Macaca mulatta: one gene and its partner. The protein of the gene in region 1 interacts with the protein of each later gene in a biochemical or structural test. Links are inferred from orthologs where the notes say so. Each region holds a gene or a part of one and is shown on either strand. Other genes may lie near its edges.

Region 1 (7,281 bases):
GGGAGGGCAGGGCTGGGGAAAGACTAAAGGTGTTGGCAATAAGCAGACTTGGGCATGGAGTAGTCAAGCTTCAGAGGGGTTTCATCCTAGCTGGGTGACATCAGGTACATGTGAGACCTCTCTGAACATCTGTGACCTGGCTCAAATGCCGCACACTTCATAGTCCTGCACTCAGAGGTTGACCAAAGTGCCTGCCAGGCCTGAGGTGGGCTGGGGTCCCCTTCACCTAGCCACAATGGCTGCCTACTAGGTCTCCAACATGGGTATTCCCGCTTCTTTGCTCCAGACAGCTCATCTGTCCCTCTAGCCGCATTCCCTAGGAGGCCAGCCCGTTCCGTTGTTTGGCATCCGTGTCTCTGACCTGGTTCTCAGGTGCAGCCACCCCCAGAAGAGAGAAGCCCAGCCCCACCTGAGCTGGCATCTTTGAGACTGACAGCGGAGGCAGCCACAAAGGCTGGAGGGTCCCTGTCCAGCCTGGCCCCCAATGCCCTCCCTCTAGCCAGCTCATCCCACCCCTCTTGGCTAAACCTCATCTGATCCCAGGGACCTCAGAGTAGAGAGAAAGGGATCCCTACTCCCTAGGCAGTGTTGGGAGAGCACCAGGGCCTCAATTTCCCCAGGAAATCACTGCCTGACACTTCTTAGCTCCCTAGTGGGTCTCCTTCCAGGGGCAGAAATCTGGGTGTGACTACCTGGGCTCCCCTGCGCCTGTCTGGCTTGAAGACATCACTTTTGTCCTGGTGGTGGTGGGGAGGCCAAACCAGGAGCACAGAATCAGCGGAAAGGGACTTTTTAAAAAATTATTATTATTTGCAGACAGGGTCTCACTCTGCCACCCAGGCTGGAGTGCAGTGGCAGAGTCCTAGGTCACTGTAACCTTGAACTTCTGGGCCCAAGCGATCCTCCCACCTCAGCCTCCCAAGTAGCTGGAACTACAGGTGTGTGTCACCATACCTGGCTATCTTTGTAAAATTTTTGTAGAGATGGGGTCTCATCATGTTGCCCAGGCTGGGGAAGGTACATTTCTTAACCCTAGGGCTGTGTATACAGAAATCCATTTTATTACTTTTTAAACTGTGCATGTATCTGACATACACTCTTTCCTGTCTGCATTTTTTCACATTTAAAATAAAATATTTTAAAGGGGCCAGGCACGGGGGCTCACACCTGTAATCCCAGCACTTTGGGAGGCCAAGGCGGGTGGATCACCTGAGATCAGGAGTTCGAGACCAGCCATGGCCAACATGGTGAAACCCTGTCTCCACTAAAAATACAAAAATTAGTTGGGCGTAGGGGCAGGCGCCTGCAATCCCAGCTACTTGGGAGGCTGAGGCAGCAGAATTGCTTGAACCCAGGAGGCGGAGATTGCAGTGAGCCAAGATTGTGTCACTGCACTCCAGTATGGGCGACAGAGCAAGATTCCATCTCAAAAAAAGAAAAAAAAAAATAGAGTATTTTAAAGGAAGGGGAAGCAGGCTCTGGTTCCCACACAATCCCCACTCAGTGACACTGGAGCCACCCCTGGCCATGCTCTGCCATCAGAGAACCAAAGCCAGGTCCCTTCAGCCCTAAAGTGGCCATAACCACATGTATCCCCCATGAAATGTCCGAGCATGGTCCAGTTCTGGCTGAGCGGGAGAGGCAGCACAATCAGAAGGCTCCACAGGCATCCACACCCCTCCCTGGGGCTTTCCAAGAGTATCTGAGATGCCTGTAGGGTGGGAGGGAGACATCCTTCCCCTAAACAGACAACCTGCCGCAGCTTCACAGAGGTGAGATTTCAGAGGGGAGCCCCAGGCAGAAAAAGGGACTGAATTTGGGGGCAGGAGGGTCACCACTTCTGGGGTCCTTCGAAGCCCCCGCAGGTGCAGCCCTGGGGGAGAACTCCGACTATCGCAGCCTGCAGTGGCAGTGAGGATGCCCTGCCCAAGGGGCAAGCAAGGTAGGTGATGGCGGCAGCAAAGGGGCGCAGGAGGCCTGGGCCAGGCCCAGTGACCCCACCCCTCAGGCCCTGCCCCCGGGCCTCCCCCTGGACAAATCAGGTTGATTCCCGACCTCCAGAATACCCAGAGAACTGTGCTGCACGGACGCTCTCCCACAAGCCCAATCCCTCACAGCTGCACAAGGGAAGAGGCAAGAAGACCTGAGGGTGGTGGGCAGAGCCAGGCCTCTGTTCCCTTCTGACCAATCCAGGAGGGCTTCCTGGGAGCGGGGTCTCCTCCGCCTCAACTGGATCTCAGCTGAAAGGCCAGCTCATTAGAGACCGCTGTGACCTCCCTTCTGGGCACCACCCCCACAGCCCCGGCCTCCCCCCGGGGTCCCCAGGCCACCTCCTCCTTTGCTTCATCTGTAGCCAACTCCCCGGCATGAGCCCAGGCATGAGCCCGCGCGAGTCACTGCGGCCGCCGGGGCGCCGAGGCCAGTGCGGGGACATAGCAGGCCTCCCTCCTTCGGACCTTCCGCCGAGGCCCCGCGAGTGCCACAGGTTTCCACAGGGCCGGGGCACACGGACCCGCGCAGCCTGGGAGCCAGGGACCCCAATCCCAGCGAAGGGGCGCCTCGCACCCCAGTCCTCACGCGGTCCCCGAGGGCTCGCGGTGACTGCCGGGTCGGGGAGGAGGAGGGTGGCAACCCGGCCCCGCCGCTCCAGTTGCTGCAGCAGCCCCCCGGGCCTCAGTCTCCGAATCTGCCAAACGGGCGTGTGGCAGCCACAAGGTGTCTTTTCGGAAGACTCACAGGCGCAGGCGCAGACGGGTGCGCACCCCTAAGGCGCGCGCGAGCTAGGACCTCGGCCCGGGGCTGGGTGTCCCCGGCCCCGCCCCCTGCAGCCCTTCTGGAGCCAGCGCGCCTGCGTCGCGGGCGCACGGGGGGCGGAGCTCCCGGCGTCTCCGCCTCTTACCCGACGTTCCCCGCGCCCGCAGGCGCTGACGTGGCCGCCGTCAGAGCCGCCATCTTGTGGGAGCGAAACCAACGCCTGGCTCGAAGCAGCAGCTTCTGAGGTGAGGGCGAGGGGCGCGGGTCGGTGTGGGCCGCACACAAGTTGGAGCCGGCGGGGTCTGGGGACTGGCCTCGGGGCGACTTGAGGTTCGCGAAGGGCACCTCGATCCCGGCGGCGGCGGCGGCGACAGGGCCGGGCCGGGGGCGGACGAGGACGGGCCGGGCTGAGGCTGGGGAGTCGGGGCTGGGAGGGCGGGCGGGTCGGTGAGCTCCTCGCGCCCCTCACAGGTTCCCGGAGTCGCCCGCGGCCCCTTGTCCTCCTCTGCCAGTCCCTGCCCCCGCCCGTCGCCCGGAAGTCAGCCGGGACGCCAGGCTCTTCTCCAGGAAACCTGGGCTTCCTGCTTCCCTCACCTCTGCCCCTCACGTTTCCCGAGGCCGCCCGCGCGTGGAGGGTTGGGGTTAGCGGTCTCGGGGGCCGGTGGGGGTTGTGGGGCCTCCTCCACCCGAGTACAGGCTAGCGAGCGGCATCCGGGCGGACCGCTGCCTCGGGGACCGGGAAACTGAGGCTCAGGCGGCCCCAAGACACCGTCAAGGTCACGTAGGTGGTGGGGGCTTGCACCTTCGCCTCCCGACTCCATCCAGTTCGTGTTTCTTCTGAGGAAGGCACTGGGTCAGGGGCGGTGAGAGCGAGCGGGCGGGCAGTGGACAGGGACCCTGCGCCTTTCCCTGTCTGCTGAACGGAATGCGTGGACCTCCGGGGAAGCCCAGAGTGCCTCCCTTCACAACAGTGAGACGCGATTTGGGGTCAGTATGAAGTCTCCGGTGGCTTCCAGAGGGCCGGTCGATGTTCGCTTTAACTCCAGGGTGGTTTCCTTGACGTTGTCGGCAGTAGATAAGAAGGCCTCTTTTGAGCTGGTGAATCTTTAACTTGCCTGCGGAACGACCTGCTCGTAGACTCTAGGCCGCAGAGGCCGGCCCCAGCGCTCTCTCGGGGCACAGCCTGGGTGGTTACGGCTTGTGAGATTGGGTCTGTACAGCCGTGCGCACCTAGAGTGTTAGATAACCATTCCGACGGCACTTCCTGGCGGACTCCCTTTCCGTCCAGGCAGCCAGTTGCTGCTTTGCAGGAATTGAGCAGAAATGCGCTCGGAATCGCGGGCAGAAAAAGAAGGGAGGTCGGAGTCTTTGGATGGTCCCCGAAGTCGCCGCCTAGTTTAGAGCTGTAGAGTTGGTGCCACTGCCCCTATTGGAGTGGGCAGTTGTATTTCTTGTTTCAGAACTAGTGGTCAGCAGTTTTCTCTGCCGCCGGTTGTTGCAAGGCTGGTGGTTCTGGCGTTTTCCGCAGTGTGTTGGGAGGAGTGTGAGATGCCGAGGTGCGGTTGTGTGCGGCCCCTGTGGCCCTCTGCTTTTGCGTTAGCCATTGTCTAACACGTGTGACTGCATGGATGATGTCCTCATTTAATTTGAATTTTCACCAGCACTACCAAGGTAGCCAGAACCATAAGGTCCTGAAATGCCGTACTATTAGCTGGGTCCAAAATTGAGAAGAATTGAGTAGTATAAATGTTAGTATACACATCTGATTGGCCACATTGTTAGAGGTGTGTTGTCCACGTTTTCACATGTTGGTAGACCGGAGAATATCTGTCACTTGTCTTTAGGTGTATCTTGTTGAAAATAAATCCAAATCATTGCAGCAGTAGGAATATGCTGTTGCCTGTCAGGCAGTTTTTCAGATTTGCTAGTTGAAAAAGATTTGAAACAGTTGGTTTGGACAACAGCTGAGTCACAGAATGACTGTGAGTGAAAAGCAAAAACTGGTTCTGTGCCCCTCACAGTTCTGATTTTGTACATCATGTAGTCTAGCTATGCGCTGTACCTCTTGCACAATATGGAGAGGACATTCAGACATCTTCACCTGCTCATCTGCCCCTACAGACTGGACAGGCTTGAAACTATAGCTTCGAAGATGCATTTGGCCTTTCATTTTTCACTTCAGTAAAATTTAATATGGACTGTCAGCTGCTGCAGTGATCATAGAAGTAGACCTAACTAAGAGAAAAAAACCTGTTGTGCAAGTTCACACGCAAAGTATATGACTGTGGTTTCAGAGAGTTGAAGCAGTTTTTTCTAGATTCTTCAAATTAAATGTCTCATTGGTGTATTTAAACCAGCTCTTACTCACAGGCCATGCTCACCAAGCTTTTGTACACACTTCTTCCTGAGCTGTGACCATTCTCTTGAGCAAGAGGCTGCAGCCAGCCTGGGCTGGCAGGCCCATACTGTCTCTCATAGGCATTCTGTCCTCTCCCCCTGACCTTTCACCTCGGTAAACTCAAGAGGGTGAAAGGAAGTAGAGTGCACTGTCAGAGGTAATTGGGAGAGAAACAGGAAAAGGCCTTGCAGTGGGGATCTTAAATTATGAGAACTTGTGTTTTCTGTGTTGTGCCTGCTCCTCATTGGTGTGGTTGGTTGGTAGGGGTATCCTGCCTGTAGCATCTGAAGTGGTCTTTTGGAAAAGGTTTAGCCCCTTCATGTTGGGATTCCAGGATTTGCCTTCATCCTCAGGTTCGTATTTTCCTGTGGTTGTTATAAACTCTTTAAGGCATAGTTGCACTTATCACCTTACAGCTGTGCAGGTGCCCAGCACCGTCTTGGAAGGTAGTTTCACATTCTCAGGTGGGTCAGATGACCTTGTTAGCAACTTGACAGACATGTCCTGGATGTTTTTTGTTCCCAAGAGGCTCTCAGGTCCTCCCCCAGGGTCCTGTCACTCAACCATCTACAGGGATGAGAAGACAGTAAGGCTGGCTGATTAGCCATAATGTCCTTGACTAATCCTGGTTTCCTGGTTCTCACACAGTGGTAACAAGGGCTTGCAGCCGGTTGTCAGCCAACAGACTGGGAAAGGTGGTGCTTCTTACAGGCCCTGATAACAGGAAAAGCCTAAATGACATCAAGAGAAGAGACAGGGAAAGCATAAAAGGCAGATTTTCACAGGCACAGCAATTGAGAATGATTCTGTTTAGAAGGCAGACGTTCTCCCACACCCCGGAGGCCCAGGGCTCACTGTTAGTGTACAGCATGAAGTGAACGGGAGACTTGATTCAGTCCATGAACATTTCAGGAAGTTAGAAGTCTGTAGTTGTGGATTGCAAAATACATATCTGGCCTGCCTCCCATTTCCTGCCATACAACTACTAAAATACTTGGAATCTCCAAAGTGATGATGTCTTTTTGTACCCTAATGAGTTGACCAGTGACGGGCAGCCCCTACGAAACTTCAGGGTAGGGCTAGTCACGGGGCCAAGGTAGGATTAGAGGGTTTCAGCCCCACCCTCCAATTTCCCCAGAGTGGAGAGGGACTGAAGATTGAGCTGGTCACCAGTAGCCAATAATTTAATCAATCACACTAATATCATGAAGCCACACTTTTGCCTTCAGTAGTTAACAGCATCTACAGCCCCGTGTTTCCACATTTGTACAAAGGAATGTTCAGACTGAACCACACTTAAGTACAATTCTGAAATAGCATGAAATTCCTTGTTGATGGGAAATACCCAAAAGGCCTGCCTGGGCTTTCAGAGAGCTTCCAGAAAGCTGAATTCATGGAGGTTCCTGGAGGGTGGCACGCCCAGGAGGGCAAGGTAGCTCCGTGTCTCTTCCCTCATACCCCACCCTATGCATCTCTCCATCTGTATCCTTTGTAATATCCTTTATGAAAAACCAGTAAACTTTAGTGTTTTTCTGAGTTCTGTGAGCCACTCTAGCAAATTAATTGAACCCAAGGGGAAGGAGTTATGGGAACCCTGATTTATAGATGGTTGTCCAGAAGCACAGGTAAAATAACCTGGAGCTTGTGATTGCCTCCAGGTGGACAGTGTCAGGATTGAACTGAATTAAAGGACACCTATCCGGTGTCTGCTGCAGAACGCAGAACTGGTTGCTTACTTGGCATGTGTGGAGAAACCCCTGCTCATGTGGTGTGAGAAGCGACCTGTGTTATAAGAGTGTGTGAGAAACTGAGTTTGGGTTTTCCTGTGTCCTCAAAATAGTGTGTTTTGAAAATCTTCTAGGCAGAATGTATTAAAATAGTTTTTACTCCCTGAAGGGATGCCAGCAAGCTAGAAAGATTCATTTCCAAAGGACTTCCAGTGGTAGCATGGCTAGATATGAGACATCTTTCCATTTGTGTCACACAGCAAGTTATTTTTGCAGTACCATATACACTATACGGGAAACTTTTAAGTATTTTATAGGTTTGATTTAGGTATAAATGGTCAAGAGGACTATTGCTAGATATCATCTAGACTTATCCTGAGGATTGGGAATGCAGGCGGTTAG
Region 2 (7,211 bases), on another chromosome or scaffold:
GCCTGTAATCCCAGCACTTTGGGAGGCCAAGGCAGGTGGATCACAAGGTCAGGAGCTCGAGACCAGCCTGGCTAACATGGTGAAACCCCGTCTCTACTAAAAAATACAAAAAACTAGCCGGGTGAGATGGCGGGCGCCTGTAGTCCCAGCTACTTGGGAGGCTGAGGCAGAAGAATGGCGTGAACCCGGGAGGCGGAGCTTGCAGTGAGCTGAGATCTGGCCACTGCACTCCAGCCCGGGCGACAGAGCGACACTCCGTCTCAAAAAAAAAAAAAGAAGTTTACAGCCGGGCGCGGTGAGCTGAGATCAATAGAGCAAAACTCTCAAAAAAAAAAAAAAAAAAAAAAAAAAAGGAAAATGTTTGTTAAATGAAGGACTAAATCAGATTTGAGAAGATCATAGAGAACAGAGAGGGTCAGTATGGTAGAGGGGGGTTTAAAAAGTTATAGGAGGTTACAGACGTCAAGGGTCAGAAGAGATGACCAAGTCTGAGGGTCAGAAAGGTCAGAGCGAAATCAGAGAGATCAATGTGGTTAAAGATATCAAAGATCAAGAAGATTAAGGAAGTCACAGGGTGGATCGCTGAGGTCAGAAGGGTTCAGAGGAGATAAAAGAGAGGGTGAAGGACTCAGAGACAGGGGGTCAAGAAGGCCACAGAAGGGATGTCAGTGTCTCACCACCGGGCCAAGGTCCCAGGCCGGGATGGGGCATAGCTGTCATGCTGGTGCAGCTGTAGGAAGTCTCTGCCTGGGCCCCGTGCCAGCTCAGTGATCTCTTGGGCCCACCACCGTGCCTGCCGGTAGCTGCTGCACTTGAGAATCAAGGACCTGGATGGGAACGATGAGATGCACCATAAATCCTCGCCCTCCATACATATGATCTTGCCCAGAGACCTCCCCTTTCTTTCTCACTTCCTCCCTTGGTCCCTAATCACAACTCCACAGAGACAGGGCGTGTATGTATCTGCCTTATTTGTTTATTTATTTTTGAGACAGAGTTTAGCTCTTGTCCCCCAGGTTGGAATGCAGTGGTGCGATCTCTGCTTACTGCAACCTCTGCACCCTGGCTTCAAGCGATTCTCCTGCCTCAGGCTCCCAAATAGCTGGGATTACAGGCCAGCACCACCACGCCTGGCTAATTTTTGCATTTTTAGTAGAGACAGAGTTTTACCATGTTGGTCAGGCTGATCTCGAACTCCTGACCTCAGGTGATCCGCCCGCCTCGGCCTCCCGAAGTGCTGGGATTACAGGCATGAGAAACCATGCCTGGCCGTATCCACCTTACTCACAGTTGGAGCCTAGTATTGTATCAGCAACCAGTATTGTACCAGGCACTCAGGTTTGTTGAATGAACAAATGAACAAATGGAATTTCCTTTATGTCAGCAGTTCCTTTCCTGGGCTTCTACTAATCCCCTTTCTCTGGGCCCAGTCTCTAAGAGCAGTCCCAAGCATCTGGCTAGACCAGTTCCCTGGTTCAAAACTATGTCCGGATCCCGGGAGGTGGAACAGCCTTCCTCTCTACTGTGGTCTCTCTTACTCAACCCCCAGCAGGGCTGCAGGCTGGCTCACCACTCAGCCGGTGTCTCTCACCCCAGGGAGGCCTCACCTGTGGGAGGTGTCGATCCGCACTCCGTACCGTGCCTCCGTGCTCCTTTTCCCCACCTGCACCTCAAAGCCGGGGTCAAAGAGCTGAACAAATGAGATGGCACCCGTCTCGAGGCACATGTACAGCAGGAAGGAGTCCTTCACCACCAGCCACCTAGAGCAGAAGGGCTCCCTGTGTTCCTCTCTGCCCTCGAAATTTTATTCCTCACCCCCACCCACTGCCCAGCTGCTCGGCCATAGCCCTTACCTCTTGGACCAGCGATAACAAACTTGGTCTCGGCCACAGCAGGTGAGGCCAGGAACGCGGTGGCCACCTGAGCGCTTCCGGATCGTCCCCTCCCTGTGGGGCAATCAGGAAGAGAGGCTGGATGAGGACTCCAGACCCCCAGCCCACCCTGCACTGCTTGCCCCATTCTCAGGCAGGGAGAAATTAAGAGGGATGTCTACAGATGCCTGGGTGAAGGGGGCCAGACACTCACAGCCCTTTGCAGCCCAGGTCTGGGATAAAGGACAGCTGACTGACTTCCAGGAATTCTGTCTGCAGAGGAAAACAAAAGGCCAGAGGAGATACCTGGCTTTCAGCTCCTCAGACCCTGGGGCCCCTGGCCCTCCTCCCCCTGAGGGTCTGATGATCCTGCTCCACATCTAAAATCAGCTCCTGGACCTTACCAAGGCATGGTAGTTGCGATAGAAAGACATGGTCAAGAGGCGGTTGAGGTAATTCTCCAGGTATTTCTAAAGTGGAGATGAGAGAGAAAGAGACAGATGGGACCAGAGTCATTTGCACATCCAATGCCTTCCCAGAGGACCTGGCATCTGGTCCCACCTGTTTGCTGGCTGCATGTCTGGTAGAGCCCTCAGGACCTGCCCGGGGTAGAGAGGGCATCTCTCTGTTGGCTGCATCTTGGGCTGGAGAATAGGCAACGGCAAAACTGTGGAAAGGATGGATGAGGTTCAGGTAAGAGCTGGGAGGCTGGGTGCTCTGGTTCCTGAAAACACTGGAGATGGGGCTTGGAGGAAAAGAAGAGGCCTGGAGGTGGCCAGGTGTGGTGGCTCATGCCTGGAATCCCGGCACTTGGGGAGGCTGCAGCAGGTGGATCACTTGAGCTCAGGAATTTAAGACCAGCCTGGGCAACACAACAGCACCCCATCTCTACAAAATATACAAAAATTAGTTGGGTGTGGTGGCTGTGGTCCCAGCTACTCGGGAGGCTGAAGTAGGAGGGTTGCTTGAGCCCAGGAGGTTGACATGAGCCAAGATCATACCAGTGCACTCTAGCCTGGGTGACAGAGGGAGACCTTGTCCAAAACAAAAACAAAAACCAAGCAAAAGTCCTAGAGTCTGGCAAAAGGAAGGCCCCCTACCCTGGGAATGGAGACTAGAAAAGGGTGAGGCTGCCAAGAGTATTTTGGGCATCCCGCCCAGCTGAGATGCTGGCACAGAACCATGGACAGGGAAAGCTGAGCAGGGAAAGTTTCCTGGTAACTGGGGTCAGGGGAGGGGCCCAGTGGCCAGAGTTGCAGGGAGGAAAGATTGTGGCCTGGGGGTGAGACAGGCAGAAAGGAGGGTGGGGGGCACCTGCCCTCTACAGGACTCAGTCTGATTCCCCTTACCGAGCCAGAGGGAGCAGACTCATCAAGACTTTGTGTCTCAGGAGGTCCCGATGCAGCTCCTGAAAATGACGGAACTTCTTCTTGGTTGTCCAGGTAAAGTCGCCGTGAGTCAAGCGGACAGAATACAGAGTGCAGGTTCCTACCTAGGGGTGTGAGGAACTGAATGGATGACCCCCGTGTTGAGTCCCCGCCTCCCCACTCTGGCCAGCTCTCCCTTTCCCTCTTCCCTGGGGCCAGCCCAGCCACCTTGGATCCATTCCAGGCCGCCCTCCCTTTCCCCCTCCCTGGGGCCAGTCTGGCCACCTTGGATCCGCTGGTGTATCTTTCGGTGCCCACCACCTGGGCTGTGACAGGGACCCCAGGTGCGAACACCAAGGGGTGCACTTTCAGAGGCTGAAGCTCATAGGTGGCCAGAAACGGGTGCATCCGGTCGGCTGGGAAGAAAGAAAGTCGAGGAGTGTAGACCCCCACAGGCCCCAGCCCCCTGGCTCCCCACGCCTCTCCTCCCCGAGGGCCATCCATATTCCCTGTGTACCTGGGTCCTCTCCCTCCCTCAGAGTGTCCACCTCATCGGACTCCATCTGGAGCTGGCTGGAGTCCAGTTCGTCCCCAGTGGGGAAGAGGCTCTCAGGGGTCGCCATCATCCTAGGAATATAGGGAATCCTCAGGGAGGCGAGTTGCCCTGCAGCACCCGCCCCCCCATCCTAACTCCTGCAGGTCCTCCATCTCTTCCAGGTCCTCCTCTTCCCCCACAGACTCCTGACCGCCCGCTGATGACGACCGACCAGTTTGCAACGCCCCACCGACCCCTTCGAGCCCCCATCCGCTATCTTAGTCCTTCATCCACAATCCCAGTCCCAGTCCCGCTCCCCGACCCCCGCCCCGTCCCGTAACCAGAGACCCGGGGAACACCCAGCCAGGCCCGGAAGGCTCCGACCTGGGGCGCCACAGCAGCTGCGCGGGGAAGCGGCCCCGGGTGGTCGGGAGAGCGCGGGGCTACGGGGCTTACGCCAGGCCAGGCGGGCCGGGGGCAGGGGTCCAGGCAGGAATGAGGAAGTTACGCGATCCCCGCCGAGGGGAGAAACCCCGAAATCTGAGCGTGCGACTGAGTCTGGAGGCTCCGCAGCCCGAGCCCTTTCCGTCCCCGCCCGATTCCCGGGACCGGGGACCCCAGCGCGCCCCTTCCCGGCCGCCTCACCCTGGCAGACGGAGCCAGCGCCCGCGCGGGTTCCGGAGCCAAGCGAGCAGAGCGGAGCCGGAGCCGCAGCCGGAGCCCACGCCCCAGCAGGCCGGGGCGGGGCTGGGGCTCAGGGCCTGCCCTCGGGGGCGGGACGGCCCCCGGCCTCACCTCCGCGGGATTCTCGTCTGTCCTGTCCCGCCCCCGCCGCCCTCGGCCCGCCCCGCCGCCCCGCCGCCCCGCCGCCCCGCCGCCCCGCCGCCCCGCCGCCCCGCCGCCCCGCGCACCACCGGGAGCCCGGGGGCTGCACTGTGCTCTGCAGGGCCGCGGGGCCGCGCAGCTCTCTCGGTGAGACCGGCAAGTGCTGCAAAGCGTCGGGGCTTTCCGCGCCGTCGGTCCCAGCGTGCCCGCCCGCCGCCCGCCGCCCGCCGCCCGCCGCCCGCCGCCCGCCGCCCGCCGCCCGCCGGGGCACCCCGCGCTGCGCGCATCCTTCCGCTCGGCTCCCGCCCCGGGCCCCTCCAGCCGCGGGCGCTGCCTCGGCCCCCGGGGACACGCGCCTCCGCTGCGGGAGCTGCCGGTGGGTGCCCCTCTCCCAGACTCGCTGCGAGCCACGTTCGACCTAGCCCAGATAGCGTTTGTACCTGGAAGGAATGAGGGCGTAAAAGGCCCGAGGGGTGGTGGCTACAAACCCATTAGTGTAAGAAAGCGGGCATTCTTTCATTCATTCACCAAACATGTATTGCGCGCTTACTCCTTGCCAGACACTGAGCGTATGGTAGTAAATAAGATGGTTACGGAGCCTGCTCAGCTGGAATTGACAGTCTAGGGGGGAAATAAAATTTTTTCGGGTATTAAAATACAAGAGATTTCAATCTTTTTTAAAAAGCAGATTTATTTTTCTCTTCTTTTGATAGACATGTGTGTTTCCAGTTTTGCCCGTTGTTTTAGCTCCTGTAAACATCCCTGTCTTTGTGTGGATAGTTTTCCTTTATCTTGGGTAACTAGCGAGTGGAGTTGTTGGATCATGTAAGTGTATGTTTAACTTATAAGAAACTATCACACGATTTTTTTTGAAATGGTTGTTACAGTCTAGATTTCCAAAATCAGTGTATGGTGGTTCCAGTTATTCTATGGCATAGCCAACATTTGATATTCTAAATCTTTAGCGTTGGCCATTGAATGGATGTCATAGGCACACCATTGCAATTTGATTTGCATTTATCTGGAGATCAATGATATTGACCATGTTTCATGTGCTGATTGGCCATTTGGCCATTTGTATGCATTCTTTTTTTTTTTTTTTTGAGACGGAGTCTTGCTGTGTCTCCCAGGCTGGAGTGCAATGGCCAGATCTCGGCTCACTGCAAGCTCCGCCTCCCGGGTTCACGCCATTCTCCTGCCTCAGCCTCCCAAGTAGCTGGGACTACAGGCACCCGCCACCTCGCCCGGCTAGTTTTTTTTTTTTTTTTTTTGTATTTTTTTATTAGAGACGGGGTTTCACCGTGTTAGCCAGGATGGTCTCGATCTCCTGACCTCGTGATCCGCCCGTCTCGGCCTCCCAAAGTGCTGGGATTACAGGCTTGAGCCACCGCGCCCGGCCTGCATTCTTTTATAAAGTGCCTATTCAGTCTTTTGCTAATATTTATTTATTTTTTTTTTTTTGAGACAGAGTCTCACTCTTGTTGCCCATGCTGTAGAGCAGTGGCACGATCTCGGCTCACTGCAACCTCCCCCTTCTGGGTTCAAGGGCTTTCCTGCTAATTTTTGTATTTTTAGTAGAGACAGGTTTCACCATGTTGGCCAGGCTGGTCTCAAACTCCAGACCTCAAGTGATCTGCCCTCCTTGGCCTCCCAAAGTGCTGTGATTACAGGCGGGAGCCACCATCCCCGGCCTTTTGCTAATTTTTTCTTTTCTTTTTTTTTTTTTTTTTTGAGAGGGAGTTTTGCTCTTGTTGCCCAGGCTGGAGTGCAATGGCGGGATCTCGGCTCACTGCAACCTGCGCCTCCCAGGTTCCAGCAATTCTCCTGCCTCAGCCTCTTGAGTAGCTGGGATTACAGCCACCGGCCACCACGCCTAGCTAAATTTTTGTATTTTTAGTAGAGATGGGGTTTCACAATGTTGGCCAGGCTGGTCTGGAACTCCTGACCTCAGATGATCCACCCTCCTTGGCCTCCCAAAGTGCTGGGATTACAGGCGTGAGCCACCACACCTGGTCATAAACTTCTAAATTTAAGGCAAAAACAATCTATAGTGATGGAAATCAGATCAGTAGTTGCCTGTGGCAGGGTGTAAGGAAAAGATTGCCTGTAAAGGGACACGTGAGGGAACATTCCAGGATGATGAGAATGCCCTATATTTTGATAGGAGTGGTGATTGCATGGGAGCATACACTTGTTAATACTCATGGAACTGTACGTTAAGATGTGTGCATTAAATTGTATGTACATTTTTGCTTCAATAAAGTTCATTGAAAGAAAAACAAGGCCGGGCGTGGTGGCTCACGCCTGTAATCCCGATACTTTGGGAGGCCGAGGTGGGTGGATCACGAGGTCAGGAGATCGAGACCATCTTGGCCAACGTGGTGAAACCCCATCTCTACTAAAATTACAAAAAATTAGCTGAGCATGGTGACGCGTGCTACTTGGGAGGCTGAGGCAGGAGAATTGTTTGAACCAGGGAGTCTGAGGTTGCAGTGAGCTGAGATAGTGCCACTATACTCCGGCCTGGTGACGGAGTGAGACTCCGTCTCAAAAAAAAAAAAAAAAAAGACTGTGTAACTCGGGCAGTATGTGTCATCAGAAACCTAACGTTTC

Evidence for each region. The genes of interacting proteins can lie anywhere in the genome.
Region 2: the proteins of ARF1 (region 1) and PLD2 form a complex in vitro, tested with the Homo sapiens proteins (2 studies listed by BioGRID). The link is inferred for Macaca mulatta from reciprocal best matches to the Homo sapiens genes ARF1 and PLD2.

What each region holds. Positions count from the first base shown.
Region 1 is NC_133406.1:85,833,102-85,840,382, forward strand, and holds the start of ARF1 (ADP-ribosylation factor 1), read left to right. Parts: upstream 1-2,958; 5' UTR 2,959-2,999; exon of another isoform or gene 3,000-3,084; intron 3,085-3,160; exon of another isoform or gene 3,161-3,679; coding exon of another isoform or gene 3,680-3,741; intron 3,742-7,281. UniProt on the Homo sapiens protein: Small GTPase involved in protein trafficking between different compartments. Modulates vesicle budding and uncoating within the Golgi complex. In its GTP-bound form, triggers the recruitment of coatomer proteins to the Golgi membrane.
Region 2 is NC_133421.1:6,341,288-6,348,498, reverse strand, and holds the start of PLD2 (phospholipase D2), read right to left. Parts: upstream 4,472-7,211; 5' UTR 4,230-4,471; exon of another isoform or gene 4,158-4,229; intron 3,866-4,157; 5' UTR 3,865-3,865; coding exon 3,756-3,864; intron 3,655-3,755; coding exon 3,524-3,654; intron 3,364-3,523; coding exon 3,221-3,363; intron 2,539-3,220; coding exon 2,433-2,538; intron 2,342-2,432; coding exon 2,276-2,341; intron 2,145-2,275; coding exon 2,086-2,144; intron 1,947-2,085; coding exon 1,854-1,946; intron 1,761-1,853; coding exon 1,608-1,760; intron 828-1,607; coding exon 678-827; intron 1-677.